Linked DNA regions of Drosophila melanogaster. The gene in region 3 interacts genetically with the main gene of each other region. Each region holds a gene or a part of one and is shown on either strand. Other genes may lie near its edges.

Evidence for each region. A genetic interaction does not mean that the proteins touch.
Region 1: of Fas2 (region 3) and Timp, changing one suppresses a phenotype caused by changing the other (phenotypic suppression), as found in Drosophila melanogaster (one study listed by BioGRID).
Region 2: of Fas2 (region 3) and Nrg, changing one enhances a phenotype caused by changing the other (phenotypic enhancement), as found in Drosophila melanogaster (one study listed by BioGRID).

Annotation. Positions count from the first base shown.
Region 1 is NT_033777.3:10,209,996-10,214,662, forward strand, and holds the start of Timp (tissue inhibitor of metalloproteases), read right to left. Parts: upstream 3,013-4,667; 5' UTR 2,764-3,012; intron 1-2,763. UniProt on the Drosophila melanogaster protein: Metalloproteinase inhibitor that acts on both matrix metalloproteinases Mmp1 and Mmp2 in vitro. Complexes with metalloproteinases and irreversibly inactivates them by binding to their catalytic zinc cofactor.
Region 2 is NC_004354.4:8,515,583-8,520,499, reverse strand, and holds the start of Nrg (neuroglian), read right to left. Parts: upstream 3,013-4,917; 5' UTR 2,991-3,012; exon of another isoform or gene 2,102-2,990; intron 1-2,101. Other genes in the region: CG33181 (uncharacterized protein), read right to left, coding at 4,574-4,777, 4,888-4,917. UniProt on the Drosophila melanogaster protein: Essential for septate junctions. Septate junctions, which are the equivalent of vertebrate tight junctions, are characterized by regular arrays of transverse structures that span the intermembrane space and form a physical barrier to diffusion.
Region 3 is NC_004354.4:4,203,062-4,208,003, forward strand, and holds the start of Fas2 (fasciclin 2), read right to left. Parts: upstream 3,033-4,942; 5' UTR 2,839-3,032; intron 426-2,838; 5' UTR 200-425; coding exon 130-199; intron 1-129.

The DNA of each region.
Region 1 (4,667 bases), on a different chromosome or scaffold from region 3:
TTTTTTTGGGGATTTCATTTTGAGACGCGAAATTAAAGAGCGAAACAGTAACGCCACAAATTTCTCAACTTATAACACAAATTGTCTGGCGGCGTGGCAAAATCAACAAACATTTCACCCAGGATGCGTAACGAAAATTCAATTAAAAATGCTAATGTATCTGAAGAGGATGGTAGGTGAAGGGGGGGGGGGGAAGGGTTCCTACAAAATCGGAGACCCGAAGGTCTGGGGCCTGGACTCACATTGCATTGGCCGGACCATAAAAATATAAATCTTTAATGAGCGAAACCCATATAGCATGTGCATATATATAAGACCGCAAAGTAAACATATGCATATGCCGGAAAATACAATATTATGTATAATGTGGGTTCTGGCTCGGAAATACAATGGTGCGCACTGTGTGGTCTTGCATTTAGTTATCAAATTGCTGGAATTTGCATAAAAATCAATAAACTCTGCACAAATAACCCGGCTGGCAGTTCAATTAAATATTCAAGTGATTTTCTGTGACAATACCGAATCGGTTTTCGTCAACTTGGGTGATTTATCTCAGCCCAACAAGGCTCCATTTAAGACCCGGTTGACAGCTCTTGTTAAAGACATTGAGGGACATTGAGATAAAAGGAGCAGAAACGCAGCAGGGAAGCTGACAAATTGACGGCCCATGGCCCACACACAAATGGAGGAGCTCCGGGTTCCCAAAAAAACAAATTCATTGTCGATAAATTGCTGCCAGACCTGTGAAATTTACGCACATTCATGGGGGAGGCAGAAATTATTAATGGTGGCGAAAGACCAAAATACCAAACCAAAGTCTCTTTGTCGCGCTGTCTTATTTGTACAATAATATTTAATTGCAAGATTTGCACAAGAAAATTTATTAAAGGCAATGGGATGAGCAGAATGTGGGTGTGTCGGCATAAACAATCCAGATCCAATGTTTTCGTATCTGTATCGCCAACCGTATATGGCTTTCGGACTTTTTTGGGGATTTAAAAGCATTCGCCAAATATGGCAAATTGAATGATGTGCGAGGGAAAAGCCACATTCACAATCATCGATTATGACAATTTTATTTGCCCAGCTTTTGTGGTTTTTTATTGTTTGCGAATTGGATACAATGCGTAATCTTACATTACATTATATTGATCGTCGTTCTCGGAGTCGCTGAAATAGGCCTGATATTCATAATAAAGAAACATATCAATTTACAATGATTATTATCATGTGAAATGTTTAATATACGTTTTAAATGGTTCTAGTTTTATTATTCAAGGTAATTTATCTGACCATGATGAGTACAAACACTCTAGTATCTTTAGGACACATTTTTTTTTTATTTCAGTGTAGCCTACTAACCGGATTTTCTCTCCCTCAATAAGCAATTGCGGTTAAGATAATGTTAAGGTGCCATATGGCAATATGTGTCGTAAGAAAAGCAAACAATGCATTCAATTCAAAAATTAGCAGACTTTAGAAATTTAAATTCCATTCGATAATAAGTGTTATCTGATGGCAAAAAAAAAGAAAATAAAAGTCAACGTAGTATATAATATCCCAGAAAAGCTGAAAAGCCAATACGAAATACAAGCTCATTTAAATGGCGCACAAACAAAACGAAAAGCCAACAGTGAATCCAAAGTCAAATGAAGGAAAACGAAATTATGAATATCCATGCGAAACAATGCGAGTTGTCAAAAGAAAACTCAATGGAAAAGAAAGGGGAAAACCCACTTGAAATGCATTTCCCTGGAGAAGTCTTTACTCCCCTCCCTTGTGATGTGCTTGTACATTTTATTGGTGTTTTTTTTTTTTTTGTGAGAGTCGAGAAGCATTAAATGTTTTTCTTTATTTTTAGACACTAAATGGCCAATGCCAAAACACACATGACGTATGCGTAATATGGAAATACCTCTGGCGCACACAACCGTTTCGCTTTCCTTGACATCCAACAAAATTGTTACTTGTACATCACAGATTCAAATGGGCTTTACGATCAGACTGGATTGCACAAGCAAACTAGTTGTATATTTCTTAATGGCCTGCAGTTTGTTTACAAATTGGCGACAATAAAAACTATTAAGACAATTCGAAAGGCCAGAAGAAAACTCGGGGCGCTCCAAAAGATCAGGGAAGGCAGATGCACAGCTAGGCAAATAAAAACAAATTATAAATAAACGCCAATAAATAGAAATGAGCGTTTCGTTGGAAAACTGTGTCGCTGTGTCACGTCGGCACATTTCCCACTGCGCGTTTTAAATAGCCCCAAAATAAAATACACAACGCGTCTGTGTCGCGCGTTTTGCATACCTTCAATTTCAATTTCAATCTTCTAAATGCCAAACAACTCTAAAACTAAAACTAAAATAAAATAAAAACAAACATGGCTGTGTACTTTGGCTTTTGAGTTGCAACTTGTTTTTGAGGTGGAAATTTGCACCTCAGGGGAAAATGCATCAAAGAAGAGAAAAGTTTAAAAATCAATTGATAAGAGAAAATTAATTTTAAAATATTTCTAGCTAAAAACTCCACAAAAGCTATTTTGAATCTGCTCTTTGAGCTGAAACTTTTTTTTGCCTTTCAAACATATATGAAAATTCTGTTTGCGGAAAAATAAGCAAACCATTTTATTCCGGCTATTTAACTTCTGACACAACACTTGGCAATGCGGAAATTTTTAAAATAAATTAACACAATTAAGCATTCAAGTACTCAATTCTTAAATTACCAAAAATTAGCAAAATAAGCCTAGTTTGTTACCTTTAAGCTGCAACCTATTTTGTGTGTAAAACTAGCACTTCAGGCTTTTAAACACTTGAACCCGAGGGCACAAAAATCGGGAAAAACAATTGAATGTATTTTCACCGGCACTCGCACTCGCACTCGCACTCGATTCGACTCGTCAGCACTTTATACTACTTGGTACTATATATCTCGTACGATGTCGCGATTTTTCCGTCGCCGATTTTGTGGCGTTCTAGCTCGCTGCGCTTGCGGTTCTGCACTGGATCGTCAAGTCAACCGATTCGACTGTTTTCTTCACTCAAGTTGTTCGGGAAGTGAGAGATCGGATCGATCGATCGTTTGAGTCGAATCCACTCGTGTCTTTATAACTTGAGTGTTTCTTGCGGCAGTCGGGCGATCAAAAGCGCCATAAATTCGCCCCAAATGAGTGGAAAGTGGAGGAGAGTCGATTGCATTTTTCTTTGCGTTTATTTTGTTACCTTGGCAGCTTTATTAATTGCGTGCAGGGGCCTGGTTTATGCTCTCGGCCATATAATAGCATACAATATGCATAGTTGTAGTTACTTGGCGCCATGGCCAAAAAGAGATCGCCACACGAAACGGCAGAGAATAGCGCATCTGTCAGGCCGCAAATCAACTAATAATTCAGCTATGCCCAGTCGTAAACTCGCCAGAGATCCAACTTCCTCTTCCTCTGACCATGTGGCGCACACACGTGCTGTTGCTCCGGTCATGCTTCATATCATACTCCATGCTCCACCTACAGCACGTTGCCATAATCTGCATACCCGACCCGGTAACGCCACCGCACTACAGATCTACACGGCGAGAAACGGTTGGGGATACTTAACGTTGCACTACTGATGGCTTAAGAATATTATAATAATATTACAAAATTATAAGATTTAATATAATAGGGTTTTACAATTGTGATCAGTATAGTGGTCTGTGCCAATGTTGAAACTTATTTAAATCGTTTTCTTCCTGTGCACTTATACACCAGACACCACTGTCAATCGATGAACCCGCTTCAGGGCACTACGAATGCGTCACAGTGCATATTTTAAGTCCGCTGATATAACCGAGATGCAGTTCCCTAGACGGTGGGTACTCAGGCGGAACACGTAGCAGCTTCCAAGAATGCTGGCTATGTGGGGGTGTGACGTCTCATTCTGATAGTCACTCTTATTCTCGGTCCAGATACATCTCAGATACCTATATATATTTATGTTCATTGAGAGATTTCTCGCACTCTGTTTGTTTGGGGCTTTCTGTCAACAGGACGGTCTTTCATCGGCGGCAATTGCGACAATTCTTCGAGCTGCGTCATGGTTGTTATGGTTTTCCATTTGGTTTTATTTTGATTTATTCATTCTCTGCCAATGCAACACAAAATTAAGCCCATGTGTTTACTTGTGATTTATCAACTGTTTAAATATGGCTTTGGGTCTGGGAGAGATGATTAACAAGGGTAATCGGTTGGCGATTTGCATATATAAATGTAATAACCATGAGCAACGATGTAAAATTAATAAAATGCGAATTAGTCAAATATTTGAGGGCTGGGCATTGTTGCTGTTGCATATTTAATAGTGATTTGCATGCGCCATTAATAACTATAAGGTATTTTCATGAAATGTTCCTGCCTGACTAATGATCGAGGATTCTTGGAATTCGTCTGGCAAATCAAAAGAAAATTTCCATGGCCAGATTCGTGATCGGAATGAGGGCAAAAACAACCAATGAATTTGGCACTTATCCAATGGATTAATAAGCATCGCCCCTTGATTTCCGCAGAAAATAAAATGAGAAAAAATGGAAGTAAAGAGCTCATCGGTATATTGTAATTTATAGAATTTCAATCAGACAGTGAAAAACATATTGTGATTGCCTCGGTGTCTTTATTCCCAACACAAGAA
Region 2 (4,917 bases), 4.3 Mb from region 3:
TTCCTACCAGCTCCCCCAACTTTTTGGGGCGTTCCATTTTAATTATAACAAATGCCAGGCAATTGCACGCCCAAAAAAAATATGAAAATATCAACATAAATCTCTCATAAATTGCGCGAGAGTTCGCAGATAGATATCGATGATATCATATTATGTATGTATGTATGTACATTCAGCAGCCAACAGAAGTGACAAAACCAATATAGTGCCTCAAGTGTGAATCAAGAATTGATCGACTCAAAAGTAGATAACACACAAATTACAAAAGCCCCAGGAGAATTGATAAACGAAAAGTTCGCCTCTGGCGTTCAAGAACAATTCAATTACGAGGAAAATCACCCAAGATCATACACATGTATGTAAGTGGCAATATGGAATATATTTGAGGTTTAGGAATCCAAGATATAGGAAAAAGCTCCCAAGTAACCAAGTAAATCCAAGAACATATAAATATATGTAAGAGAGTAATCAGTGATCTGCGTATGATTTATTGTTGACAAATTGAAAATTTATATGCGAAAAATCACCAAATAGCAAATAGGCGAAGCATGACCAAAAAAAAAACAGTAAATAGTAGATGCTTTGTACCTATTCAAATGGCCTCGAGTGTGAGTGTCCATTTCAGTACCTACTCAATTAATGAACTGCTTTAATTATGCTTGACTTTTCCAATTGTTAATGGCATAAATTATAGGGGATGTTTCTCTATCGATAAAGCTTCAATGTTTCGTTTCAAGTTCTTTTCTTATCGCTCTCATTGAAAACGATCCCAGTTACTGGAGGTTAGCCTCATTGAAAGGGGACTTGAATTTATAAATAATAGTAATAGTCTTTCACATGCAACATGGAAATATTCTCCGATCACCTTGGCCTTGATTTTTTCAAAGTCAAGAATGGCCGAAAATTATCATCACACTGTGCTTGAAATAAAAAAAATAGCTGCGATTACATATCAGCAAAGTGACTTTGGATTTGGTTTCGTTTGCTTAAACATTTATTCTTGAATTAACTTTTGAAATTTGCACTTAAATTTTTTTTTTTTTTTTTTTTTGCTGTTGTGGTCGCCGGTTGATAAAACTTGTTATCAAAAACTCGTACAATTTTAGCAAATATTTTTTATTTAAATACTTTTAATATGTTGTAAGCATGTGAAGTAATATCTTCATCACTTATTGTATCTTGTATCTTTAGCCGGACATCCCCACACCAAAAGGCCAACAAGGGCATTTATTAACTAGCTAATTTTTAATGCTGCTTCAGTTGACGCAGTTTCAGTTTCTGTTATTTCTTTATTTATTTATTATTATTTTTCTTGATACGTTTTTGGGTCGATTCGGGGCGGAGGCATTGCTGTCGACGGCGTTGCTGGGGCGGAACGAACTGCCATATACATATGCATATATGTACATACATATATATAAACCTATTCACAACGATGACGTCGTCGCGATGACCGCATGGTCAAAAGCAAAAACCACAAAAAATAGCGGAGAGAAGTACAAAATGTATATATTTACCTAACTAAACTCAATTCAGTTTGCAATTGAGAATCATTGAAAAAAATTGAAAATCAGTTGTTTCAGATATTGCTAAATTTAAAGAATTTTAAAGTAAATGAATTAAATGGCTTAGACGAAAATAAAACTGAAAACGCTAAAAGATTGTTTGTTTTTTGTATCTTCTAAATTGTAAATGGAAAACCCGTTATCTCTGTACTTGAGGTATGAAATCGAAAGAATTTAGAGAGAAATCGCTAGGAACGTGGAAAGTACATGTGAAAATGCGAGAAGAGCGCCAAAGTGGCGACGAACGAGGGAGAGGGCAAAAAACGTAAAAAGAGCTCAAAAAGTGATCTCTTGAAGCTGCCCCACCTTACACACACACACACACACACACACCAAAACAAGAACACCGACACACGCACACACACATGCCGTAATTCGCGCTCATTGTCTGCGCTCTTCTTCTTCGTCACCATCTTCGCTAGCTGCTAGAAAACCTGTTTTAGAGCCACCAATAAAAATGAAAAGAAAAAAACAGTGTGTGTGGAGTTAAGATTACGCCCTTGGACGAAAACTTGGTTCAAATCCATAATGCTTACCTTTAAGTCATAGAAGCCAGCAGCAGCAACAACAACTAGATGACGGGATTCTGCCAAAAAGCGCTCAAGAATCCAAAACTCAAAACTCAGGTAAGAGAGAGAGAGGAAGGCGGGAGAGGGCGACGCGCCAAAGCGTGAGAGACGGAGCGAGTGAGAAGGAGCCACTCAATAACTCGCTTACGAAGTTTTGGCTTCGTGGTAAATACATATGTACATACAAAAACAACTAGAATACAACAAAAAAATAGGAAAAATAAAAAAAACACAGAGCTTTAAATGTTGAGGTTTTGAGCGCTCTTGTACAGTTAATGGCGCCCATTGTTGCTGTTGTTGTTGCCTTTGCGTGGCTTTTGGCGTCCTCCGATTTGCTCTCCTTCTCCTTTTTTGTTGTCATCGTGTGCTTCGTACAATATTGCATTGCCATTCATTTTTAATCAATTGCATTAATGAAAACCATCAACTATTTAACTTTTTGGGTGCGGCACAGTGTGCAAAGTAAAAAAACAACAAAAAATGAAGGTGGAAGTAACGCAAGGAGACAAACAATTTTGTTTTGGGTTTTTTTTTCTTCCTTTCGTTTGGCAACCAATTTTTCTTATTTTTTTAAAACAATTCCCAGACAAGCACACCCGCACACTCACACACACGAACGCACACTAAAAAAAAAAAGCGAAGGCAGAGCTAAAACCAATTTATATATTGGCGGAGTAAATAAGACAATTTTCTACGCGGCGTCAGTTCGTTTTTTTTCCTCTTTTTTTTACTATTTTATTTTCAATTCCCGGCGCTCACTAACACTAACACCGACGCATATACACACACACTGGGACAGTTATGTTATACACGCGGAATTTTTAGGAAAAAATAAATAAAGTTAGTGCTTAAACACCCAAATAACGATATATATTCGCTCGGCTGCGAATATGTATCGCGGTGTTTTCGGCGTAGTTTTCAGTAAATACGATTTGGCGGACATACACAACCAGCAGCGCGGATATTTTCTTTTCGAATGCGGAGAGGAACTGCCAGCCTCGCGAACGGTAACAATCGGACGCACGGAATGCGGGGTGGCATCACCGACAAACTGGTTTACGGTTATCGATATTTATCTAAGATATACCAACTATCGATTGATTACCAGGGATGCGATATACTTTTAAATAACCTACGCTCTTATCGATATTTGTAACTCTTTAGAGACTCTTATCGATAGTGTGTTCAATGCTACCCATAACATGAATGATATATCGATTGATGAACTGGGCGCCAAAATATTCAAATTCAAATGGTTTTACGTTTTAATTACAATTCTGAGCAACGCTAAACAGAAACATAATTAATTATAAAGATATTGAAACTATTTGGATTTCTTTCGTTTATTCCAACATATTTATTTAATTGGTATTATTGTTTCAAGTATTACACAATATTGATGCCTTTTCTCTTACGTTTTCAATTAATTTATTATTATTATTATTATTATTGTTATAACTAAATATCGATCACATTTCCTTTCAGAACGTCTCTCATTCTCATCATTTTAATCCCTGTTCACTTTTTGATGCGGAGCAGAACGCACAAACTCCTGCATACACACTTCCTTTCCATCGTCCTAACTAATTTGCAATCATATATATCGCAATTCGCGGTTTAATTATTGCTTCTCCTATTTCTTTTTATCGCTCGCGCTCTGCGGGGGGGAAATGGAAAGGGGGATGGAAGGGGACAATGAGAAAAGTAATATTAAAAAAAAAAACAAAATCGAAAGCGAGACTTGCAAAAATCAAATCTGCGCTAATACTACATAATTGGTTAAGTGTAAATTAAGGATTTAAGTAGGCTCTATTTACGTCTACGTTTTGCAATTATTATTTGGCTGTTTAAGGTAATCAAGAGCGAAAGAATCAAGAACCAAAGTGGGAGAAAACAATTTGCGTGGCGTAAATGTTCTTTTAGTAATTCTTCGTCGTCTTTTTCTCCCTATACAATGTATATACTTTTCTTTAAATGTGTATAATATTGTCCTAAAAGCCTTAAAAAATATGACGCAGCGGCCTGCAATTCTACATATGCCTATATATAGCCTGTATATATACCATAATCGCACATAATTTCTCGGTAGAGCAAAAGGAACACAAGCAAAAGCCATGTGAAGAAGGACACAATGTAAAATGATATCATATCTCTTAATATCTCTCGCCTCGAGCATTCGACATGCATCATTAAAAGTTAGTTCGTTTTATAGCGGTTTCCGTTTCCGTTTCCGTTTGGTGTTGGGAGGTTTTTTTTTTTTGTCTTGGATTTAAGATTTTTGGGTGGCTGGAGGAGGCTGGCTATACGTACAATTTCTATGTTTTCTGTATATTTGTTTTAGGTACATAACAGTTCTTTATATTGTATGGTGTGTGTGTATGTGTGGCTGCCTTGTTTATCGTTCTACGTTACTCCGTACTCCCTATTTCGTTAGCTACATTAGTTAGGTGCGTTTAGTGTCTCCATTCCGGATCCGTACTGCATGCCCACCGACATGGTGAAGAGCCACGCCACCGCCAGCAGACTGCTGCCGAGCAGATCGCCCAAGGCCGTCAGGTAGGGTATGGCCGAGTTATCCGGATCGATCTTCCACTTCCACATCGCGTGCACAATGATGTGGGCAATATACAGCAGCAGCATCACCTGAAACGATCGCAGCACATTAGCGTTGTGTTTTCGGAGGGTTTATAATGACATATGTATGTATGTATGTACATACATCAGCAAACGGCCTTAGCATATTCAAAACTCACCTGAACCAAACTGGCGGTCAAATAGGAAAG
Region 3 (4,942 bases):
CAAAGGAGAAGCGGCCATAAATTTTCGACTTTAGCACAATTCGTGCGTTTGGGTTCTATTTCTAATTATAATACCAAATTGAAAAGCACATATTGGGAATTCGGGGAGCGTTTTTATACCCGTACTCACCTATTAAAGAGCAGCTGCAGAGGAGCAGCGCCAAAAAGACGCCGACTGAATTTGGCGGCAATTCACCCATTTTTATCGCTGTTTTTGCAGTTGTAGTAGTTTTCTAGTTTTCCCCGCTCGCAAATAGCTCTCGTTTTAACTTCTTTGGTTTGTTTACGGTTGCACACGAAAAAAATGTTTAAAAAATTTCAGTTTGTTTTCGCTGCTCGTGATTGCACAAATTATTCTATTCTGATTAACACTTTGCGTTCGGTGTCTTTTGTTTTTTTTTCTTTTGTCTGTTTCGGTGTGTGAATCTGAAAGTATATTGATAATGAAAGAAAGATGAATTAGCTAAGCTTTTAATAGTAATATAGATAGGGTTTTTTTTTAGTTTAAATTCATGGTAACTGGCTTTTGTGGTTAGTCAGATTGGGCCTTAGAAGTTCATCTGCATTTGATATTTGTCATAACTTTAGCATTTTAGCTTCAAATGGCAAATGTTGGCATTTATGGGCGAGGAGAAGAGGAAGAAGGCAGTGCAAGCGAGACAGCGCGAGCCGATGTTGTGTGCGTGTGTGCCTTGTCTCTTTTGCATTCTCTAAAATCGGCGGCGGCAGCGAAGAAGAAAAAAAATGAGAAAGGAAAACGAAGAAAATAAAACTTGCTGCGCCGCCGACTTCGCACATGTTGGCCAGTTTTTGTAACGGAAATTACGGTGCTCTCGGCAGTCGAAACACGTAGTGCAGGGGAAATATGGTAGGAGCAACACAGACACAAGGGGTAAGGGAGGGAAGGGGGGCTTTGGATAAGGTAGGAGAGGATTGCTTAAGCTGAATTTTATCTATAAGTTTGTGTTCTCAGTAGATCGTTATCTTTTGGGTTCGAGAGCGAAATGTATATTTCTTATCGGCACATAAGTTCGTGCGTCTCTCCAATAATTCATGACTCAAGCTTTGTCTCTCTCGCTCTCTTTCGCCTTCTCTCTCTCTCTATGTCTACTGAAGTTGCACCTATGCTGAGTGTCCTTGAATTGCAACAAGTTCTAAAGTACAGTTATCGCTCGCTTTAGAGAATATCGTAAACCAAATAAAAAACGGTTGAGTTATAGAATTGAACGTGACTTCAATGCAATGACTAATAATAAAGGTAGAATAAGTGATCAATAAAAGTTAATTTTCATTTACAGTGACGCCTTGCAAGCAGTGCTCTTTTTTTTTTTTTTTTGAAAACTCATAACAGTCCTAGCAACAAAAAATATTTGCATGCAGGCGAGGGAAAACTGTAGTTACTTCCTCGCGAGCTCGTCTTGCCACTAATCCCGCCCACTTTGCACAGCGGAACTTTCCCACCGCACCCCCTCATTTGGCTTACGGTTATTACAGTTACTGGATAATCGATATTTAGGGCAGGCCTTGACTTTTTTTTTCATAGGAACCGCGCGTATGTGTGTCTGCGGCACGCGAAATATTCTTGAGAATATTTCGCTTTCATCTCGCTTCATTCTTGCTTTTGGCAAATTGAGACATTGTTACAAAATACCCGCGAAGCAGTTTTAAATATTCATAAAGTTTCGAAAACGCTAATTATAATGAGAGACTTGGCCAGAGGGGAAGTTCTGGCAACGGTAGAGTTTTTGTGAATCTGTTCAAGTTGCACAAAGTTTAGAAGTTTTCCACTTGATATTCGTGAATTATTAATGCTGTCAAATGATTTGATTTTGACTTTCGGCGCGACCGACAAATTGTAATTACATCTGCCGTTTTGATTGCCTAGAATTGGACGAACTCAATAGGATTTTGTAGTCTTAATTAAAATATGGCTCGGTTAGGTTTGATAAAACGCAATAAACTAATTTATTAATGCGAAACTAACATCTTGTTCGAAAAACTGCCAAAAGTAAAGCGGCAAAAGTTTTCAAATAAGCACTCTATGAAGTCGATGAAGTTAATTTACCAACTTTGAGTTTATTCCGACTTGTTAACAGTTTAAACAAATATTTTTAATCACATTAAAACTTTTGCAGAAAGCCGCAGCAAACGAAATAAACTTTTTGATATGCGACATAAAGGCAATTTTGACAGACAAAGGAAAAACGAAACCGACTGAAATTGGTCGTGAAATTTGAGAATCTATTCTTTTCTATTTTTTTTTTTTTTTGTTCTGTGGTTAACATTCCAGATTAGTTGTGGAATCAATTTGCCCGGCTTTTCCTAATTCTTAACGTGTTTCTTTTTTGTATGTTTCATATTTCCTATTTGCCAGCTGCAAGCGTGAGTCAATTTCCAGTGCACACTGTTGGTAGTAACAACAATAAAGTTGGCAGCGAAGCGGGCCCAAAAACCTGTTTTCCGTTTTATTTTTCTTGCTTTTCAGGTGATGTTGCTCTTTTTTTTCATATTTGTTGTATGCACTTTTCCAACTCGATTATTGGGTGAGTTTTCAAAGGGTTTTCATGGAGGTTTTCATTGAAATAACTTTTGCACGTGACTCATTGGAATCTTGGGCTAAAACAACAAAACAGCATAGACTCAGCAGAGCGAGAGAGATACATTTGTGTATTTTTTGTCACACGCTAAAAAAAAAGTTTTGAAAAAAAAAATATGTACAAGAATGCCGCCAGTTTATTTTTGGTTTTTGTGGAGCTGTCTCGACATGTTTTTTGAGTTCTTCTCATGCACGGCCAAATAATGGCTGTTATGAGCAGTTATTATTATTATTTATTATTACCAATTTCTCATTGTTTAACTGGCACACTAACACACACGCACACGACGCGCCACGACCGTTAACACATACGGTGAAGAGAGCGCGAGAGAATGCGAGTATGAAGAAGAAGAACCACTTCTGTTGTCTCTATTTGTGTTTTTCTTTCTCTCAGCAAGCAGAGCACTCGACGCGTTGGCCGTCGAAACGTAACTGAAAGCACCGCTAGCGCTGCCGCCGCAAAATACCACAGCTATTGCCGCGCCACAAGATCTGGCAACCCCAAATGTTGCCAGCCGATGCGACGCAGCATGTTGCCAACCGAAAGTAATCAAGCAAGGGAGATGGTAGAAGTTTAAGAAGTAAAGTGCATAGATAATAGCAATTTATAAAACCGAAAATCTGAGCTCTTTTAAAATGAAATTAATTTACATAAATAACGTAATAAGTGCACAGGAATATTAATATCAGTTATTGGCCAAATATGTTTTCAGTGGAGACTAAAAGAGATGGAGAGTGTCTACCGTTAGGCGGCGAAGAATTCAGCTCTTTTCTTCTCGAGTGTCAGCAAGGTCAAACGACAATGGGCGGAGAAACTGGGCGGTGGCACTTAAGCCCCATTTCGTCACTTTTACGAGCGACTGGTGTCAGGTTTTTTGACACGTTTTTGTTGCCCAATCTTTGTGGAGCTTTGTCAACAAACTTTCAGAACGAAGCATTAAAAATGTAACTACTTTATTCGGGGGCACATTTAAAAGAGCTACACGTATGTACATATATTACGCAAAGTGTGCTATCGCGAGGAGATGATGTCTAGCTAAGGTTTTTCCGATTGATATGCAAGATGAAAATCTCACACTTCGATAAGTTTTGTAAGAATATTCGGGAACACTATCTAAACATCCTTCGAAGTTAGCAGCATGTTGCCGAAACCTCTTGCAACATTTCGAAATGAGGAAAACCAAAGTTTAACGTCTTATTTTTCGGCACAGCATTTTACGATCTTGCTGTCGAAGTAACCGACGAATGCTGGGGGGAAAATCGGGCGGGTATGCAAGACGAATTTTCCGGCTGGCAACATTTCGGATATTTCGGAGACGGCCACTTGTTGCCCGCGCAACATCGAGATTCGATTCCAAACAAAAACTTCTTTTATTTTCAATTGCCGCGCTGTCAATTAAACCAGCCTGCGGAAAAATCGTGACGAGGGGGGTGATTTTCCCCGGTTAAGTGGAAACAAAAAAAAAAATCGCAGTTACGTTTGAATGCGCTGTGTGCAATTTACTAAATGAAATTGCGTATAGATGCCAATGCGATGTATTCTGCAGTTATCATTGTTGTTTTGTTTCGTTTGTCGTTTGTGTGACGGAGCAATTTATCACCGTATACAGAGGGGATATATGTACCTACATATATCTATATACCAGCGACACCCCTCCCCCGCCAGAATCACCAATAAGTGATTTATAGGATTGTTATTTTGTCGTTGATGTCGCACTTTCGCTGCGCTTTATTTATTGCTCGGAATCTTCCTCTATCTCCCACACACAAAACAAAAACCCGATACGCCCGATTCGCCCGATTTGGAGTGCGTTAATTTTATTTCACAGCCGGCCGAATTTTCCGAACTTTTCACAGATGAATATTGAATTGATCGGCTGGCTGTGGGAACTATGGTGACAATCGTTCTTCACGCTTAATTTGCTAATGCGTTCGACCTTTGACCCATGATGTGCCAACGATGTGAACATTTTGGCTATCAACAAATAGGATTTAACACGATTGCATTTAAATGTATTGGCGATTTAAAAAGCAAGAATGTAATATAAAGAAATTAGAACATAAATATAAATAAATAAGTAATTATTTTAAGAATCTTTGGTCTTGGCACCAGTAATCTGATGTAAAAACAAAGGAAATATGCCCATTTCCCGCCGAGAACTGCAATTATTTAACAATTATGGGAACCAGTGAACAATGGCGATAGTTTATATGTTGTTCAAGCCTACTTGAAATGGTTTCGCCTGACCTGTGACCCCGAAATCCGACTATCTGCTACCTGATTTGAAGCCAGCCAGCCAGACAAATGAAGACGTCGATTTAGTTTTCGGATGGGTGGTCCTCGAAT